Arabidopsis thaliana: one gene and its partner. The protein of the gene in region 2 interacts with the protein of the main gene of each other region in a pairwise test. Each region holds a gene or a part of one and is shown on either strand. Other genes may lie near its edges. The genes, in order: AT2G18750 and CAM7.

Evidence for each region.
Region 1: the proteins of CAM7 (region 2) and AT2G18750 interact in a two-hybrid assay, tested with the Arabidopsis thaliana proteins (one study listed by BioGRID).

The regions. Positions count from the first base shown.
Region 1 is NC_003071.7:8,122,886-8,126,811, reverse strand, and holds the start of AT2G18750 (Calmodulin-binding protein), read right to left. Parts: upstream 1,685-3,926; 5' UTR 1,218-1,684; exon of another isoform or gene 1,011-1,217; 5' UTR 986-1,010; coding exon 870-985; intron 720-869; coding exon 644-719; intron 554-643; coding exon 495-553; intron 415-494; coding exon 1-414. Other genes in the region: AT2G18740 (Small nuclear ribonucleoprotein family protein), read right to left, coding at 2,102-2,111, 2,215-2,260, 2,348-2,426, 3,148-3,210, 3,310-3,336, 3,437-3,478. UniProt on the Arabidopsis thaliana protein: Transcription activator that binds DNA in a sequence-specific manner, likely 5'-GAAATTTTGG-3', to promote the expression of target genes.
Region 2 is NC_003074.8:15,664,819-15,668,744, forward strand, and holds the start of CAM7 (calmodulin 7), read right to left. Parts: upstream 1,652-3,926; 5' UTR 1,538-1,651; coding exon 1,462-1,537; exon of another isoform or gene 816-1,461; intron 663-815; exon of another isoform or gene 175-662; coding exon 1-174. UniProt on the Arabidopsis thaliana protein: Calmodulin mediates the control of a large number of enzymes, ion channels and other proteins by Ca(2+). Among the enzymes to be stimulated by the calmodulin-Ca(2+) complex are a number of protein kinases and phosphatases. Activates MPK8 in vitro.

The DNA of each region.
Region 1 (3,926 bases), on a different chromosome or scaffold from region 2:
ACCCTTAAACCCAGCCTGAATTTTCTGCATCTAATCCAACTTGAGTTGTCCGTAAAGATAAGTTCCCCTAATGTTCCCACACCTTCTTTCAACGTGACCTGCACATCACCAGTCAAGAGAGGCCTCTTCCCTTGACGTTCTTTCACCAAATGACCCTCAAACTCTTCTCCACTCCAACCATCATCATCTTCAGTGTTAAAATCACCATCAAGCACAACAACATCAAGCTTTGCAGAAGCTTCAGGTCCTACTGTCAAAACATGTCCAGTTGTCATATCCAACAGTACAACATGGATTGCAGCACCTTGCTCCCCTTCTATCTTCCCTCCAGTAAACAAAGGAACAGACAATCTAGACCTGAATTGTAGCTGCAAATTCCTTCCACCGATACCTTCAATTCGTTTTGGAGACGACCTGTGAACTCAAGCATTAGAAGAAAACCACAAATACTCCAACCATTAATTTTATCTCTTTTTAAAACAGTCATATGTTACCTTTCACTAAGTCTTGCAGGGCCAAGCTTTGCCAATGCCCGCTCCACCTCTTCACTTACCTGTTTGACAATGCTCACAAAACAAATCAGTAAGCCAAAGAAACAACACAAAGCACCAAAAGACATGTAAACAATTCTTATTAAGCTAACCACTCGGCGAAGAATCGGTTCCAAAGAAGAACAAAGCCTCTGTAAACTATCCATCTTCAAGGCTTCCACAATTACACTGCAATAACACATACACAACTTTCTCAAATCCACAGACAATCAATATACATAACAACCCTTTTTTCATTCATACAACTACAAATCAATTACAGATTCAACAACGCCATAATCAATAATCAGAAAAATTACAAGCATCAACACAAATTACCTTGCAAGAGCTGGCCTTTTACGCTCAGGCTGTTGCTGCTGCTGCTGATTATCATCTTCCTCCAATTTTCTCTTCTCTCTCATACTATTAGTCCTCTCCATATACCTCGTCTGCATTTTTTACGCTGCTAGAAGCTCTGATCTATAAGATCGAAGCAAGTAAAAAACTTCACCAACCCAGAGAAAGAATCACAAATCCAGCTCTCAAACTAAAAAAAAAATCAAAACTTTACCACAAACAAATCAAACCCAGAAGCTAAGCAAGATTTTATGAATTCTACTTAAAAGCTTCTTCAAACAAACGGAAAGAGAAACCTGAAAATTCGATTCGAAGGAGAGAGAAAAATACCTCAAAAATGGTGTTTTGGATAGAAGAAAAAGAGAGAGAGATAAAATGAAAAGATCAAAAATTAATTTACTTGAAACACTTGTCTAGTTTTGTGATTAGTCGAGTACTTTGACTAGTTTTAGTAATTAAAGATAGTTATCGGGTGCGGACAAGATCACAGTAGGCTTGGATTGCCGTCACTTTTGCTTTTCGTTTATTGGACGACATTCTTGGGCCGGCGGCTAGTGTATGTATTTTTGGCACATGCTATATTCTAAAGTTGATAATTAAATAATAATACTTTGTTGTATAAAGTCCAATTATTTGTTATTAAAAAAAGACTTTAATAGTAAAAATACATTCATTTCACCAATAGCAAGATTAGGGATAAGATTCAACAATCAACATGGATATAAAAACATCTAATTGCAATGAAAAGTTAATGTTCACATAGATTTCTGTATTTTTATGTTAACTTTAACAGATTATATTCTGATTGGTCTATTAGTATAATTAAACTTTCAATCTACTTGAGCCCTGAGAATGGCCAACTCGGTCAGTTCACCAAACAAACAAAAATGATACAATTTTTTTTATAATCAAAATCAATTGGTTTTACTTTTTTAAGGTTTGAAATTTAAACAGAGGTTAAAAAGTTGCAACAAAGATCAGCCAAATTACATAACACTAGATTTAACCAAAAGGGACCAAATCTCTTTTTTGAAGTTTTAACCAACCAATCCACTAGATTCGATCAAGCTCCTTTGTCACTCACTACATTGCAATATATTATACGACATTGAAGAAAAGAAGGTATCGTCAAGTACCAATTAAGCTGAGGAAGAACTCAACAGATATTTAACATAAGCTTGAAGGTCATCGAAGAGAGTTGTTTGAGACAGACATCACTTTCCCCTGTTAACATAGAAAGGATTTTGTTTCAATCTTTTGTTATGTGACAAATCAAGCTGCTATACATCATAAAGAGAGAAGACAGAGTAGAGATTGTGTTACTTACGTGTTCATCATCAGAGTTATGTTGTCTCCTTTGAGTAAAATCCTTCCTGAAAATAGGTATTAACACGAGTTATCAAACCATAAGCAGACAGATCTGAGACTTGTTATCAAAGAGTGAGTTCAGGATAACTCACCAAGTGGTTTCCTGGTGTTCTTCTTGATGCTCACTTCTTCAGCCTCATCCAAAACTAGATTCATGTATTCGTCAAAACCCTGCAAAGGACGACGGATAAGCAAGGTTTGATGGATTCTCCTAGAAGAATCAATAATACACCCAAATTCAAGTAGACAAAAATCTAAGTTTAAAACCGAGTAGAGTGACACTATCACAAATATCATGTTCCTCCATACATATAATCAACCTCAGAAAAGCTAGGATCTTAACTCGAGGAACAACAAAAGTCAAGTAGACTGCAACATGGAACAACAAAAGTCAAGTAGACAACTCAAACCTTTAAGCCAATGAGAATGACACCATCACAAAATCTCAAGTTTCTCCAAATTATCATAGAATCAAACTAAGAAAAGCTTGAATGCTTGAATCATAACTCGAAAATCATAGAGGACATACAACTACAAGCATAGCAACAAACTGAAACAAGTAACACCCAAAGCCAAGTAGGCTGTAGGAGACAATAAGTTTTAAGCCGAAGAGAATGACACAATCATACTCAACCTAAGAACAGCTAGCTAATCAAACTAGTTTCTATTGGCAGGCTCTTATCAGTTCTTTGTGCAGTAGTAGTAACAGTGACAACTATCCCTTTTCAATTCACAACAAATGCAACAGTTCAAACACAGACTAAATTAGAGAGATAGTCACACTGCTAATGCATTTCAAACTCTCCTAAAGTTAGCATAACCCTCGAATGTCCTATAAACAAAGCCAGGAATCTAATCAATTCATGATAACGGAGCTTCAACATCAACTTACAGTGATTCTTCCTTCAATCCTCAAATCTTTCTGCTCAAATAGCCAAATCTGGATCCTAGCTTTCTGCATCACAAACACAAAAGACCAGGGAACAAATCAGTAGACGAACTACTAATAACCTAAAACCTCAGAGAGCAAATCAGAAGAAATTGAACAACTTACACTTTGAAGAAACCTAAAAATCAAGTTCTGGAGCCGCCGCCACCGGAAAACAAAAAGCAAGATACAAAATTAGGTTTCGATAGAAACAATAAAGAGATGGAACAAAGGAATCGAAGAAGAAACGTACGATAGGTTGGGTCATAATCCTTTGAACTTTGGTGCTCGCCATGGCTAACGTAGTTGGAAATCTCTCTCAAGCTTTCGAAAATTCTCTCTCAGAGGAAATCTAAAACCCTAAAAAGCGTTTGTCCCTCTGCTAATACGCTTTTTTCAACATTTTTCTTAAACTTAGTTCTCTCGGTCCTCATAAAACTTCAGAATGTTATTTCAGCCCATAACTAATTAATGTGATCATTTGGCCCAAATACTCTTTTCCAAGACCTAGAATTTTTTAGCGTAGGTTTTTAACTTTTTTTTTTTTTTTTTCAGAGAAAGATTTATTTTTAATATACTGAGGCTCAGTGTTACAACATAAAAGGCTCAAGACAGTCTACATATGAGGTCCACAACAGACTTTTACGTCACAAAAAAGAGATAAGCTTAAGACGTGTCAGACCAATAATAATAAGCTAAGGACACGTGAATCTTCCACAACCTCCACCGGATGAGACTCAAGT
Region 2 (3,926 bases):
CCTCTGAATCAGTGTCTTTCATCTTACGTGCCATTAGGTTCAGGAACTCTGGGAAATCTATTGTCCCGTTCCCGTCTGCATCCACTTCGTTGATCATGTCCTGGAGCTCGGCTTCTGTCGGGTTCTGCCCAAGTGATCTCATCACAGTCCCAAGCTCCTTTGTGGTGATACAACCTGCAATCAAACCAAAATTGGACACAACTTCAGATTTTGTAACGCAAGAGTTCCGAGTATAACTTTATGAACACTAATATTGTCAACAAGATCAGGAAGATATATAAACCAATTATCTTAAACACAAGTAATATGTCAAGTTTTCAAATGCAAGAAAGCTCAAAAATGCTCTTAGTAAAATATCCTTACACTACTAACCCCAATCATAGTATATCTCATTTAAAAGGACGACGATTCGACAAGTAAAACTGATTGTTCGGAAATCATCTACCAAGTTAACAAAGAAACTTCTTGCACACAAACCACCAAGCAACATTTAAAGCCTCTTTCTAATCAAAGGCCAGGAAATGCACAATGTTCTAAATATGATGGTATTCTCTTAGTAATCAAAGGCCAGGAAATGCACAATGTTCTAAATATGATGTTATTCTCTTAGTAATCAAAGGCCAGGAAATGCACCTATTCTCACAAGAAAGCTCAAAAATGCTCTTAGTAAAATACTCTTAAACCCCAATCATAGTATACGACAAGTAAAACTGATTGTTCGGGAAACATCTACCAAGTTAACAAAGAAACTTTTTGCACACAAACCACCAAGCAACATTTAAAGCCTCTTTCTAATCAAAGGCCAGGAAATGCACAATGTTCTAAATATGATGGTATTGCCAATAAGCATCACAAAATGCACACCGTTGCAAGTTCTCAACTATTGTAAAGAAGAACAACAGAGATGATATTATCAACTTCTTTCTCTATTTTTCTATTTGGCAACATCACACAATAAACCAAATTTCGTTTTTTAGATTTTGAGTATAAACATCTGCAGATAAATCTACATGTTACAATTGAATCTTAAAACCACAATGCCACTAAATTTTGTGAGAACGTACAAATCCGCATGATTATAATCACAGGATTTGTTCAGAATCATAGTAAATCACAGAGAAACAACTAGATTCCAATGTACGATTCCAATGTAGGATCTAGAATATGATGAATAACCTAATTAAACAAGATTCCATAACTACAAATCTTAGTAATCATCAACGAATATACTAAAGGAGATTCTACATATTCTAGATCCTTCTATAGAAGCAAAAATCAACCCTAAACACTCTGGAGATGTGAGCAAGACTGAACGAATCAAAACGAGATCGTTCTTCAAATCACATGAAACAATAAACGAAATGTGCAGAGATTCACGATCACCGCGAAGAAATCTAAAAAAAAAACGACAAGAGAAAGAGATCTGAGAGAAGAAGAAGAAGAAGAAGAAGAAGAAGAGACCATCTCCGTCTTTGTCGAATAGGCTAAAAGCTTCCTTGAACTCGGAGATCTGGTCATCGGTTAGCTGATCCGCCATTTTTTTTGTCTTCTTCGGATTTTCTCGAGAAAATTTTTGCTGTGATATTTTCTTGTTTCTGGAGAAAGTTGAAGCGCGTGAGAGTGAATGTTCCTTCTCCTTTATAAAATGAGATCTCACCAGCTACAGGTAAAATGAGGTATTTTTGAATTGACGATTTTGCCCTCCTAAACGTCTTTCTCTTTTAATTTCTCAGACCAAAAAATTAAGAAATTCTAGTTTTGGGAGAAATTTGTTTTTTAGGTTTGCAACTTAGTTTTTACTATTTTAGGCTAATCTACTAACTACTTATGTCCAGATCATGAACTTTCTGCTAATAGTTTTGAATTTGATATTTTTGTATTATTGTTATGGTATCTTGGTATGATATATATTGATGTAACCTGATATTATACATTGATATCCAAACATTGGTGTAGGCAATTTGATAAAATTCATTTTCTATTTGCTAAGTTTATTTTAGGGTAATATTAGATAACCAAATAAAACATACAAATTAAGAAACTAGTAGAGAGAAAGTTTTTTGTTACAAAATAACCATGGACCCATGTTGTCGGAAGAAATGAAATAACAAAGCTACCTTTCATTTGTTGTAAGATGAACTGTAAACGAAACACATTCGTGTAATTTTTCAAAATAACATGTAACATTAAAATTTCACATGTTATATTTAGTTTTAAAACATGCTATTTAAAAAAACGTCATGAATTTTTAAGAAAAAACATTATTATGAAATTTTCTTACATGAACATAATCCTTAAAAAAAATTTATATGTGATTTTAATAAAACCGTGTATTACTAAAAAATAAGAATATATTTTTAAAGAAATCACGTGTGATCTTAATAAAAAATGTGTATTACTACAAAATATCATGATAAAAAGAGATATTAAACTGAATAGAATGTTTTTTCCATAAAATACCATGTGCTTTTTATAAATACTATGTAATAAGAGAAAATAACAAGATAAAAAGAGATATTATGTTATCGCATGTATTTCGGAAAAAAAACATGTTACAAAGGATATTTATGTAATTACATGTGTTCTCCAATATGTTTCCGACAAGCTACTGTGACTCAAGGTTAGTTTGTACATTCTTTTCAAATCTATAATCATTTATTATAAATTCTCTTTATTTTATCACATTTCAAAATTATAACACAAGAAAGAAAATGGTTAGACAATAAATATTAGTAGACGATTGAGAATGATTTTACGGTTTTTCCGTAATTTAGTAGAAAATTTTTGTAGAAAAATTTCCCGCCAATTGCGTTGATTTTACGATTTTTAAAAAATTTATATAATTGTCATCAATTATTTTTATAGTTTACAATTATTATTAAGTAGCACTATACCACAAAATATTTTTTGATTTTATATAATCTTTTCTAATCAGACTGATTTGATAAGTGGTGCTAAAAATAATAAATTAAAGATTTAACCCGTATTCCAAAAAATAAAAAAATTCTAGTTTTGTGACAAATTTGTTTTTTAGGTTTGTAACTTAATTTTTACTAACTTAGGCTAATCTACTAACTACTTATGTCCAGATCATGAATTTTCTGCTAATAGTAAAGCAAAAATCAGATTTTCATATTGAATTTGATATTTCTGTATTATTGTTATGGTATCTTGATATTTCATATTGAATTTGATACATTGATGTAACCTGATATTCTATATTGATGTCCAAACGTTGGTCTAGGCGATTTTAACGTTAGTATATATTAAGGTTTACAACTTGTATCTATTTAAAGAAAAATTATATTTTATAGTTTATAATTGTTATTAAGTAACGGTATAACACGAATTCACAAGACAATTGTTAATAAACAGTGCAGTTATATGTTTCCCTTTGTATTCTGACTTCTTATTGTTGGAGGCTTCTCTGACTTTTTTTTATGTTTGTGATGGTAGCTCTTTTTGAATAGGTATGTGTGAAATGCGAGAAATGCAGAGGAATTTTGACTTGCCGGATATATAGCTTTGATCTATTGTTTGTTCCCGTTATTGTTTTGATGGTAGATTATTGCGTTGAGGTTAAGGTGTTTGCTTTTTCTTAGTATTATATCATAGAGCTTCTTTTTGGTATGGATCATTCTGTTCTTTTTGTTATGATTGACTTCCCTTCGTTATAGGTATGTTGAAGGTATAAAGGGTTTTTTAGTCGAAGGATGGCTTTGATCTATCCTTATTATTGTCTAACGATTTCATGTGAATCAATTTGTTCTTTCTTAATGGGTGGATAATTTATAACGCTGGATAAATAAAAATCACCAAAGATCATACATTTCTGGCCATAATGACCTTATGGTGGTTCCAGAAGGATGAAAAAGAAATTTAATTTTAGCTTGTTTAAGTATACAAAGTAACATGACTTGTAAAAG